3 linked regions of the Callithrix jacchus genome follow. The protein of the gene in region 1 interacts with the protein of each later gene in a pairwise test. Links are inferred from orthologs where the notes say so. Each region holds a gene or a part of one and is shown on either strand. Other genes may lie near its edges.

Region 1 (3,650 bases):
CTCCCACTCCCTGGCCCTCAAGGCCCTGCCATCAGCAACCCCCAGCCTCCCCTGCCCTGCACACACACGCCTGTCACCTCAGACCCCACGGCCTGCTCTATAAAGCCACCTCGCTCCTGCCACAAAACTCTAGCCACCCTCTAACCCTCTCCTTGGCCACCTTGCCCAAGTGCCAGGCCTGCAGACTCTTATCAGCATCCCTGGGTGTCCCTGTTGAATGTCTGAATAACGTCACTGCTGGGGGATCAGGGAGGGGGAAGGAGGGAGACGGGCCACAGAATGCACTTTGGGGCTCTGAGGCTGGGCTGCGCCCCGCCATGCTGGCCGCCCAAGCAGTCAACACTGGTGCTACTGCACTACCAGCCAGCCCCACCCGCTCATGCACCTCCCCCAGCCCGGGACACAGAGGCCCCTGGAAGGTGGGGATGGGAGTCTGTGGATCTGGCCAGGGCTGGGGCTCCCATTGTGTTGGGGAGACCCCTTGTTCCCTCAGCCCACGCAGGAGCCCTTGTGTTTCCCTGGGTGCCAAGATCCCGAGACCCCAAAGTCCCCAGTGGGGTGCCTCTCAGGATGCACCTCACCCCAAAGCTCTCAGCTGCAACCCGAGTTCTCAGATGGGGAAATAGAGGCCCAGAGAGGGGAGGGCTGGAGCGATCATGCTCAGCTCCGGAAGCCTCCCTGGGCCCTCGCCCTCCCGCCCATGGCCTCATCTTCTGTGCCCCCCACCCCCACTCTATCCCTGCCTAGAGCTGCAGCTGGAACTGTCCTGGGAATTGGCCCCAAGAGGAAAGGAAGCTGCCCCTCTGGACAGGAGGGGCATTGGGAGTGGCCCCAGCAAGCAGCTTACCTAGCCCGTGACCTCCGATTGACACTGAGGTGAGAGGGCAGAGAGCAAGGAGAAAGGTCAGGTGAGTCACTCAAGGGGGCGGCCCCCACTCCCACACGCCGCCCCAAGCAGCGAGCCCTTGCACACAGGCACAACCCAAGCCCCGTGCCGAGCACAGCGGCGGCCAACGGCAGGCTGGCTCACCTGTGACTGTGCACTTGCTGGCGTCCCCGGTGGGCACGGCGCGAACGCGGTATGGGGAGAAGGGGATCTCATCACCACCGTACTTGATGAGGATGGTGTAGCGACCCGTCATGTCTGGCACATAGGCCACTGTGTAGGTGCCGTCATGGTTGTCTTGAATGTGTGTCTTCTTTGGCTTGCCCTCGGGGTCCTGTGTGGCAGAGGCAGGGGAGACAGTTGGCCTCCCGGAGTGGCCAGCGCCGCTGCTACAGGGATAGCCTCTGGGCCCCAGGCCTCTCAACTGCCCTTTATTTCCCTACAGGCAGAGTCCACAAGGGAGACTAAAACATCCAACACCCCCCACTGACAACAGGCACGGCCAGGGAGCCTGGCACCCATCCTCAGCCCCAGGTCCTGTCCAGCACACCCAGGTGATCTCAGGCTTCTCCCTGCCCCATGAGAATGTTACAGGTAGGGACACTGAGGCACAAAAGGCTTTGGTAATGTGCTCAAAGTCAGCAGTGAGCAAGTGCATGTCTGGGGGAGCCCAGGCCTATCGCCACCATCCTAAGTTGGTTACAACCTTAGCAAGCCAAAGGCTGTGGCCCTGTCCTTCCCTGCCCTCCTTGGTGCAGTGCCCCAGGGAGACCAGACGCCAGCCTGCGCCACCGGCAGCCCACACTCCAGCCACCCAGGCCCAGACCCCTTGCCTCCCCTGCCTGTGCCTGGAGCTCACCGTGATCTGGACAGCCAGCAGGCCCTCCCCGGCATCCTTTGCATCGATGGTGAACTCCACGGGCAGGCTGGCGGGCACGCCAGTAGTGTTGAGCCCAGGGCCACTGGCCTTCACCTTGCTGGCATCATGAGTAGGCAGCACCTTGACCTTGAAGGGGCTGTGGGCAAGGGTGTCGTGAGCAGTTAGATAGGCTCTAGGCATCCAGCCTGGACCTCCCCTCAGGCAGCGGGCCCTGCCTCTTACCTCCGGGGTACCTCTTCATCTCCATACAGTACTGAGATGCTGTAGGGCCCTTCTCGGCTGGGCACGTAATTGACGGTCTGGGTGCCATCAGCATTGTCCACCACATCCACTGGCTCCACCAGGCCTAGCCCCAGGCCCAGGGACACAGCCTCAGCTCATATCCTGGGCCTCCACTCCTACCCCGCCTCTCAATGGCCAAGACTCAGCCCCAGGCCTAGACCTTGCTTCATCCCCATCAGCCCGACCCTGGGAATGGCCCTGACCCTCTCTGGCACAAAAGACGCCCATCTGGGTGCCAGCTGGGACCCTTGCCTGCGTGCCGTCCTGCCACATCTGCTAAGTGACAAAGTCCTATCTGTTCTACCTCCTCCCAGTCCCCCTCCTGGCTGCACTGTCATGTGAGGCTCTTCCAAGAACACCTGCACACTAGCAGTCTCCTTCCCGACTCCCAGCTCCAGGCATGCAAACACTCACCTTTGGGCCCTTGCACTTTGACCTGCAGTGGGGCCACACCAGCCTTGCTTGTGTCCACCTGGAAGGACTGAGGAAGGTTGGCACGAACCATGCCAGGACTCAGGCCCGGTCCAGAGCACTTGACCTTGGATGCATCTGTCACATCATGCACAGGTACCTTGAAAGGACTGCCTGAGGGGTGGGGCAAAGGCATGGTGGCTATATGAGACAGGGTGGGGACAAGCAGATAGTCCCAGCCCTGCGCTGGCCGCCACCTCCTCACCTGGCACTTGATGGCCACCATAGGTGACGTTGAGGCTGTAAGTGCCAGGCTCATAGGGGATGTACTCGACTGAGCAGCTGCCGTCCTTGTTGTCCATACAGGACATCTTGGCCTCGGAGGGGCCCTCTACAGCCAGGCCCAGGCCTCCTGTGCCAGCTCCCCTGGTCCAAAGAGACAGCTGCTCATTCTCGGGGTTCCCAGGTCCAGCGGCCACACGGGCACCCGGGGCCCCCTCACCTGGTCTCCACAGTGAACTTGTTGGGCTTGTTGGTGGTGCCGCTTTGGATGCCCGGCCCATGGACACGCACCCGGGAGGGGTCACAGCCCTCGGTCACAGGCACCTGGAAGGGGCTGCTGGGCACAGGGCTGCCATCGTAGGTCACGTCCACAGAGTGCAGTCCTAAAGGAGTGCAGGCCAGGTCAGGAGGAGTCCGGGCTGCGATACCCACCCCGCCCACCGGCCTGCAGGAGCCCCGGCACGGACCCTCCTCATAAGGGGTGTACTCCACTTTGTAGGTGCCGTCGCCGCGGTCCTGCACATAGGTCTCTGTCAGGTTGCCTGACGGGTTGGCCACACGGGCCTTGACGTGTGGCCCTCCAGTCTGTGTGAGGGCCCGGGCGTCCACACTGAACTCAGTGGTGGCCTCTCGGAAGACGCCTGCAAAGGGACACAGGGAGGAGACTTGGGGCTCTGGTCCCTATATCCCCACTGCCACATACCGCACAGCAGGGCCACTCACCCTGGCCCTCAATCCCAGGCCCGTAGCACTGGACGCCGGAAGTGTCCACTGCAGGCTCCACCTGCAGCTTGCTGGGGAAGTTGGGCACAGGCTGGCCTCCATACTTGATGGTGACAGTGTAGGCCCCAGGGCAGAGGGGAATGTATGTGATGGTGTGCGTGCCATCGCCATGGTCCTGGATGTACA
Region 2 (2,539 bases), on another chromosome or scaffold:
GTTTTGGTGCAAAGAACTGAAGGCCAGATTGGGAACGACTTCCAGCTTTGCCATTAATCAGCCATATAATAGCAAATCACATTATTTAGTCTAATTTAAAAAAATAAAGATGCCTCAAAAAGATTATTTTGACAATCCCTAGCAGATCAAAGCTCTAAAATCTAAAAACAACGAATTAAGTGACCCTCTAAATCAAATATGACTAATTCTAAAGACAACAAAACAAAACCAAGCATTTCCTGTCAACGTGACTGGTTTAACATGTTTTAAGAAAAATATTTAAAACTTGTCTTTGAGTCTATTAATTGCATGGCAATCATTTAAAATAGTAAAACTCCTTAAATTAAAAAAAAATGCAGTGTGTGGAGGTGGGGAGAAGAGGGATCATTAAATGCAATGCAAGAATACCATGCAGAATTAAAATAAATGATGTAAACTGAGGATAAGGTAGCAAATACTTTTTCTAAGGAAAACTGTTTCAAAGCATGCAGTATGAAATTTCATGATCTATCCCAAACAACATACTGCATAGGCAATGTTATTAAATACACGTTTTCTGTTTCCAAGTACTACAAATAACTCATTATTCCTATACAAAATTAATTAATAAAAATGGTAGTACGTGGTGATTATTTTTTAGTTTATTGTTTAAATACATGACTTGCCAATCACAAAATATCTAGTGTAACCAAATACATAAGAATCCCTGTGTGAATCAAAAAGTGCCACTCTTGCAGCTTTCTGTCACAAGGATGCTGAGAAATGTACTGTAATAGTTTAGGAGTGAGACACAAGATAGTCTCAATTTTAAGTTTGAATCATTAATCCTCTTCAGAACTGGAATCATCCTCTTGGTCAGAGAGTTCAGGAACAGGGAAGCGGAGAATGGCAGCTACTCCAGTCAATTGGCTGAGCTGTTCCCCAGAAACGTGAAGACTAGAGAATATCCTAACGGTGCCTGCGTTCTCTTTCACACTGTCCACCAGCCTCACATACCGGCTCCGTGTGGCTACATCCTGATGCCTGAAGAGCTCATCGCTGATGAGCAATGTGTCAATTGCCATGGCTTCATTGGCCTTCTCTACCTGCTTGAGTCCATAGAAAGCTCGATCTGGTTCATGTTGTAACATTTTATAGAAGTCATCCAAGGCTTTGACTTCCCCAGCAGCTTTAGTATCTGAAAGGCGGCTAGCTACAGTAGGGTCACAAAGGGCCTCTTTCAGGGAGTACTTGTGTCCGGAGGAGGCATGTACCTAAAATCACAATTACAAAAGTTAGGCAAAATAATCTCTTAGAACACCCATTAATCAGCCCACAAAGGCTTAAAGCCAAAAGCACTAACAAGGCTTTATATGTTTAAGGAATTCAGCAAAGTTTACGTAGTCATTTAACATTCTCTTTTTACTTCATTATCTCATGATAATCTCAGCTAAGTAAAAGACTTTCTCTTCTCATTTTTCCTAGTTCTAAAACTTTAGTAGTAGTTTATACAAATCCCTCTGCCCGTTCTTAACTATCCCTGGGTAAGATTGTTTTACCTGAAGAAATTTGGATCGGTTTTCCAAGAGCAGTTTGTTGTCGGTCTTCACAGCTTGTTGAAACATGTAGTCGCAGAACTGCTCCCTCACAAATCCTGGGCTGGCCACCAGGACGCACTTGACAACATCAAAGTGTATGTGACGCTGGATAGCCTGGACCACCTGTTCATAGAACCGCTCCAAGGCCCGGTCATGCTGAGAGCAATTGCCTTTCCTTTTCCTAGGGATGTTCACCTCCACCTTGGCCCGAGTGAGGGTCATGCTGGGAGTGACTAAGCAGATATGGGCGAGGCCTTCCTGCATGACCACAGCTGCCACATCAGCGCTCCAAGCTGGGTCACAGGCCTGCTCGATGCGCTCGAGAACCACGCTGTCCCACTGTTTCTTGGCCAGGGTGAACTGGCGGTTGGGCTCCAGCTCGATGGTGTGGTAAGCTCCCATCTTGACATACTCATTCTCTTGGATGTTGGTCCCCTTAACCCGCAGCTGGCAGGCTTGAGAGTCGAAGTCAATGGCCTCCACACAGAGAGTGAGGGTAGTGCGGACCCGGTTGCTGCCCACGCTGCCCGTGGAGGACTCGGTCTGTACCTTGCGGATAGTGGAGGCGCGCAGGCTGTCACCCACCTGCACGAGGTTGTAAGTGTGCCACATGTCCTCGGGCTCCTCGGGGACCAGGGTCACCTGGCCCGCATTGTCCTTCTCTATGTTCTTCCTCACGAGCTTCATGGCCTAGCAGGGGCTCAGTGACAGAACTAGAGGAGCCAAGGAGGTCCTCACCTCCGCCCAGGGAGAGGGGATGAGAGTGTAGGGCGGGAAGGGGGCGGGGCCCGGTTCCTACGGGTACTTGCCTGGCGGGAAGAAGATACTCTTGCTTCTACTCATACAGCCGAGGAGAGCACTTCCGCTATCCTTTCGTCTCTGGGTTTCCGGGCGGGCTGCGCCTAACAGGCGCGGGAGACACAGCGGCGAACAGCGTCTTCTCCACTGCTCCCGTTGGCAGC
Region 3 (3,650 bases), on another chromosome or scaffold:
GCTGCTTGGGGATTGAGAAATAATCCAGAAGTGGACCCGTTTGTCTCCTGGGACCATGTGTGTGGCTGGTGAAGGCAGCAGGCAGTAGGTCTCTGATGCTCGGCTGGCCCCACTCGACAGGGACAGGTGGATAGAGAGAGCCCCACAGATATATGGGCAAGACTCTCAGACCCCACACCCCACCTCTGGGCAGCCTGAGCCCCAGCAGCTTCAGATGTGGTGAGTTCCCAAGCAGGAGCGACTTCATTCAATTCATATGCCACCTAAGATGTCATCTGCCTGGGAGGGCACCCAGTACATCTGCAGTGCAGTAGCTCATGGGTGGCCTCAAGGACCTAAGTTATAGTCACAAAGAACATGGAGCAGCTGAGTGTCCCCCTAACACGTGGATGACAGAGCGGAAAGGGGTCCTGAGTTGCCTGAATGGTTTGGCTGTGAACACCTAACAACCTGTCAGGGGCCAGGTGCAGTGACTCACACCTGTAATCCCATCACTTTGGGAGGCTGAGGCAAGAGGATCACTTGAGCCCAGGAGTTGGAGACCAGCCTGGGCATCATAGTGAGACCCCATCTCTACAAAAAATACAAAAATGAGCCAGGCATGGGGGCTCACACCTGTAGTCTCAGCTGCTCGGGAGGCTGAGGCAGGAGGAATGCTTGAGCCCAGGAGGCTGAGGCTGTAGCGAGCCATGATTGCACCAATGCACTTCAGCCTGGGTGACACAGTGAGATCCCATTTCAAAAAAAAAAAAAAATCTGGCAGGAAAAGGGAAGGAGACATAGGGTGCATGAGTGGTTCTGCTTATAATTTTCCAGATTTTCTGGGATGTTGGATTTAAGATAAAAAGAGAAGGTAAATGGGGAAATGTCTGAATAGGCCTGGGGTGGGGTGTGGGGTGGCTACAGGGGGTCCCTTGGGGTCAGAATCTTAAAGTCAATTTTGTCTCTGGCCAACACACGGCCATCCTCCCCAGGACGCAGCACCCAGAGGGGCTGCCTAGACAGTAGGGAGCCTCCTGGGCCCCCTACCCTGGCCTAGTTCCCACCCCCACCCCACAGGAGAGTCAGGACCAGCCACCAACCCCCACCCCTCCTCCAGCACAGAGCCCAGCAGCCCACTCACCGGATCTCGTGCGTGGGTTCCGGATTCACTTTGATGGTCTCCCCAAAGACCACCGGCAGCATCCGGGGCCTCATCTCGGACGCGGGGGGACGTGAGGGCTGGGAGGGGGCCTGTGAGGAGAGCCAGGGATGCAGGGTTATGCAGCCCCTTGTGGCAGCGGCTTCAGCTCCCTGCTGGGCACACAGGACCATCTGACACCCTGTGGCCCTGGCTTGGTTTGGGAGCTGTCTGTGGGGCCCATCAGGAAGCCCGCCCAGAGCCCTCCCTGGGATCCAGGCATTCGGGGATCTGCCCAGCTCCCCACAGCCAGCCTGCCCCCCAGTTCCCAGTTCTCAACAAGGGGCACGGCCATGGCCACGGCAGCATCCACCTCTTTTAGAAATGGCACCGCATGTTCCCGAGGACTGGTAACCCACACTGGGCCAGTGAGAGCCCAGAGCTGTGGGGACAGTCCCCCCACCCTCCGCCAAGGGAGCTAAGAATGTGGGGGCAGGGGGTGGAAACCATGTGGAAATAGAGCTACACTGAGGAGAGCAGGGGTCAAAGACGGTGAAAGATCAAGTCTTGCCAACATTGTTCAAATGCCTGGGTCAAGCCACACCTGAAGCTGTCCCTAACTTGTGAGCACCAGCAAATCCATTTTGAGGCTTCAGACCATTTGAGCTGCCTTTCTGTCACTTGCAGCTAGAAGAATCTTGGCAAGGTGGGAAAGAGAGTTCTATGGGAAGAGAAACCACCCGCAGCCTCTTCAGAAAGAGCCCCTCAGACAGACACAAAGAAAGCACTTGCTATTCCCCTCCCCAGCCCACCCCACAGCTCCACGCTGGGAAGTTCTTCCTCTGGTCTGTTTTAAAATCTGTCCGAAAATTCCACTCCCTGTGGAAGCAAAGACCTTCAAGGGCATGCCCCTGCCTGGAGCTTAGGAAGAGGCTTAAGGACCCCACCCTATCCTTCGGTCCACCTCCCGCGCCCCCAGCTCAGCCCACTGCTGGTTCAGCCTCAGACTGGTTCTGGAAACGCAGGCTTCAGGCCCTGCAGTCTCTCCTCAAGCTAACTCCGTGACACGCTGCCCTCCCCCCAACTCTTCCCTCCCGAAGAGCTCCACCCCACACAGACTCAGCTCACCGGCCATCCCCCTCTGCCACCAACCCAAGAAAGCCCTGTCCATGTACACTTGGGCGTCCTTCAGGGCCAGCCCAGCAAAGTGAGACCTTGAAGTAGAGATTTCACCTGGGAGGACCAGGAGGCTCTGCTCCCAAAGACTTTTTTTTTTTCCCCCAGGACAGGGTCTTGCTCTGTCACCCAGGCTGGAGTGCAGTGGTGCAATCACGGCTCACTGCAGCCTCAAACGATCCTCCCACCTCAGCCTCCCACACAGTGGGCACTACAGGTGCATGCCACCATGCCCCAGCCAATTTAAAAGATGATGTTTGCAGAGACAGAATCTCACTATGCTGTCCAGGCTGGTCTCAAATTCCTGGGCTCAAGTGATTCTCCTAACTTGAGCTCCCACAATGCTGGGATTGCACGTGTCAGCCACAGTGCCCAGCCCCTAAAGCTGTTTAAGGCTGCGCTAGATGTTCTCCTTGGGTGCTGCTGGGACACTCAAGTCATGGCCAACCCACGAGGAACACGTGGTGAGAGCCAAAGAGAAGCCCTGCTCTTCAATGCCACCGAGATTGGGGTTGTGTGTGACACAGCATCCCCTCCCCTTCAGGGACAGCAGGGGGCCTGCAAGGCTGCTCCCTAGGCCTCTGCTGGAACTACACGTGCCCGCACCAAGGGCTCAGGGAGGTGAAGGACAGGGCTTTAAAGGACCCGCCTACTTTTCAGATATCTTGTTCCTCACTGGGGCCGTGCAGATTGGACCAGAGCATATGGCTAGCACCACGCCGGAGAACGCAGGAGTGCACATGTGAAGACACGCCTGTGGACACGCCAGAGGTCTTCCACCAGCGCACTCACTGCGCTCCTACTGTGTGCTGGCCCTGCGCTCTGTACTGCTAGTGTAGACAGAGGGCCTTCTCGCCTGGTGGAGCTGCCTGACTCCCGCTACTCTCAACAGTGTCCTGCCAATGGACTAAGATGCCAACTGCGGTCGTCAGGGTGCTGCGGGCATGAGAAGGGGTTGACCACCAGGTAATGGGGAGTGCCACTCAGGATGTGATCCTGGGGTGAAATTCACTTGCGGTCCCACAGGCCACAGGTCCTGCACTTTACTGTGTCCTGGAGTCCCCCATTAGGCACCGGGGCCACACAGCCACAAACATCACCCAGGACACCCGCACACTCTCAGCCCTGCCCCCCCGCCCCGTGCATGGGCTCTAGGATTCTAATACAGAGGCCACTAGCCACATGGGGCCGGTCAACTTCAATCCATCACAGCTCAGCAGGATGAAAAACGCCATCCTCAGTCCACCCTCCACACGTGGGCAGCTGTCTTGCTGGCCGGGGCGGGTCCAGAACCCGCTCACTGTCACAGCAAGCACCCTGCACCAGCTGCCCTGCGGGGAGGCAGGCCGTGGGT

Evidence for each region.
Region 2: the proteins of FLNA (region 1) and PELO interact in binary tests that used the Homo sapiens proteins (3 or more experiments, as listed by UniProt). The link is inferred for Callithrix jacchus from reciprocal best matches to the Homo sapiens genes FLNA and PELO.
Region 3: the proteins of FLNA (region 1) and RFLNA interact in a two-hybrid assay, tested with the Homo sapiens proteins (2 studies listed by BioGRID). The two-hybrid records come from large-scale screens. The link is inferred for Callithrix jacchus from reciprocal best matches to the Homo sapiens genes FLNA and RFLNA.

What each region holds. Positions count from the first base shown.
Region 1 is NC_133524.1:150,150,541-150,154,190, forward strand, and holds part of FLNA (filamin-A), read right to left. Parts: coding exon 3,465-3,650; intron 3,383-3,464; coding exon 3,209-3,382; intron 3,125-3,208; coding exon 2,962-3,124; intron 2,886-2,961; coding exon 2,725-2,885; intron 2,634-2,724; coding exon 2,463-2,633; intron 2,113-2,462; coding exon 1,989-2,112; intron 1,903-1,988; coding exon 1,746-1,902; intron 1,221-1,745; coding exon 1,031-1,220; intron 872-1,030; coding exon 848-871; intron 1-847. UniProt on the Homo sapiens protein: Promotes orthogonal branching of actin filaments and links actin filaments to membrane glycoproteins. Anchors various transmembrane proteins to the actin cytoskeleton and serves as a scaffold for a wide range of cytoplasmic signaling proteins.
Region 2 is NC_133503.1:157,029,561-157,032,099, forward strand, and holds the end of PELO (protein pelota homolog), read right to left. Parts: 5' UTR 2,265-2,539; coding exon 1,539-2,264; intron 1,254-1,538; coding exon 822-1,253; 3' UTR 620-821; downstream 1-619. UniProt on the Homo sapiens protein: Component of the Pelota-HBS1L complex, a complex that recognizes stalled ribosomes and triggers the No-Go Decay (NGD) pathway.
Region 3 is NC_133510.1:127,496,618-127,500,267, reverse strand, and holds part of RFLNA (refilin-A), read right to left. Parts: intron 1,234-3,650; coding exon 1,124-1,233; intron 1-1,123. UniProt on the Homo sapiens protein: Involved in the regulation of the perinuclear actin network and nuclear shape through interaction with filamins. Plays an essential role in actin cytoskeleton formation in developing cartilaginous cells.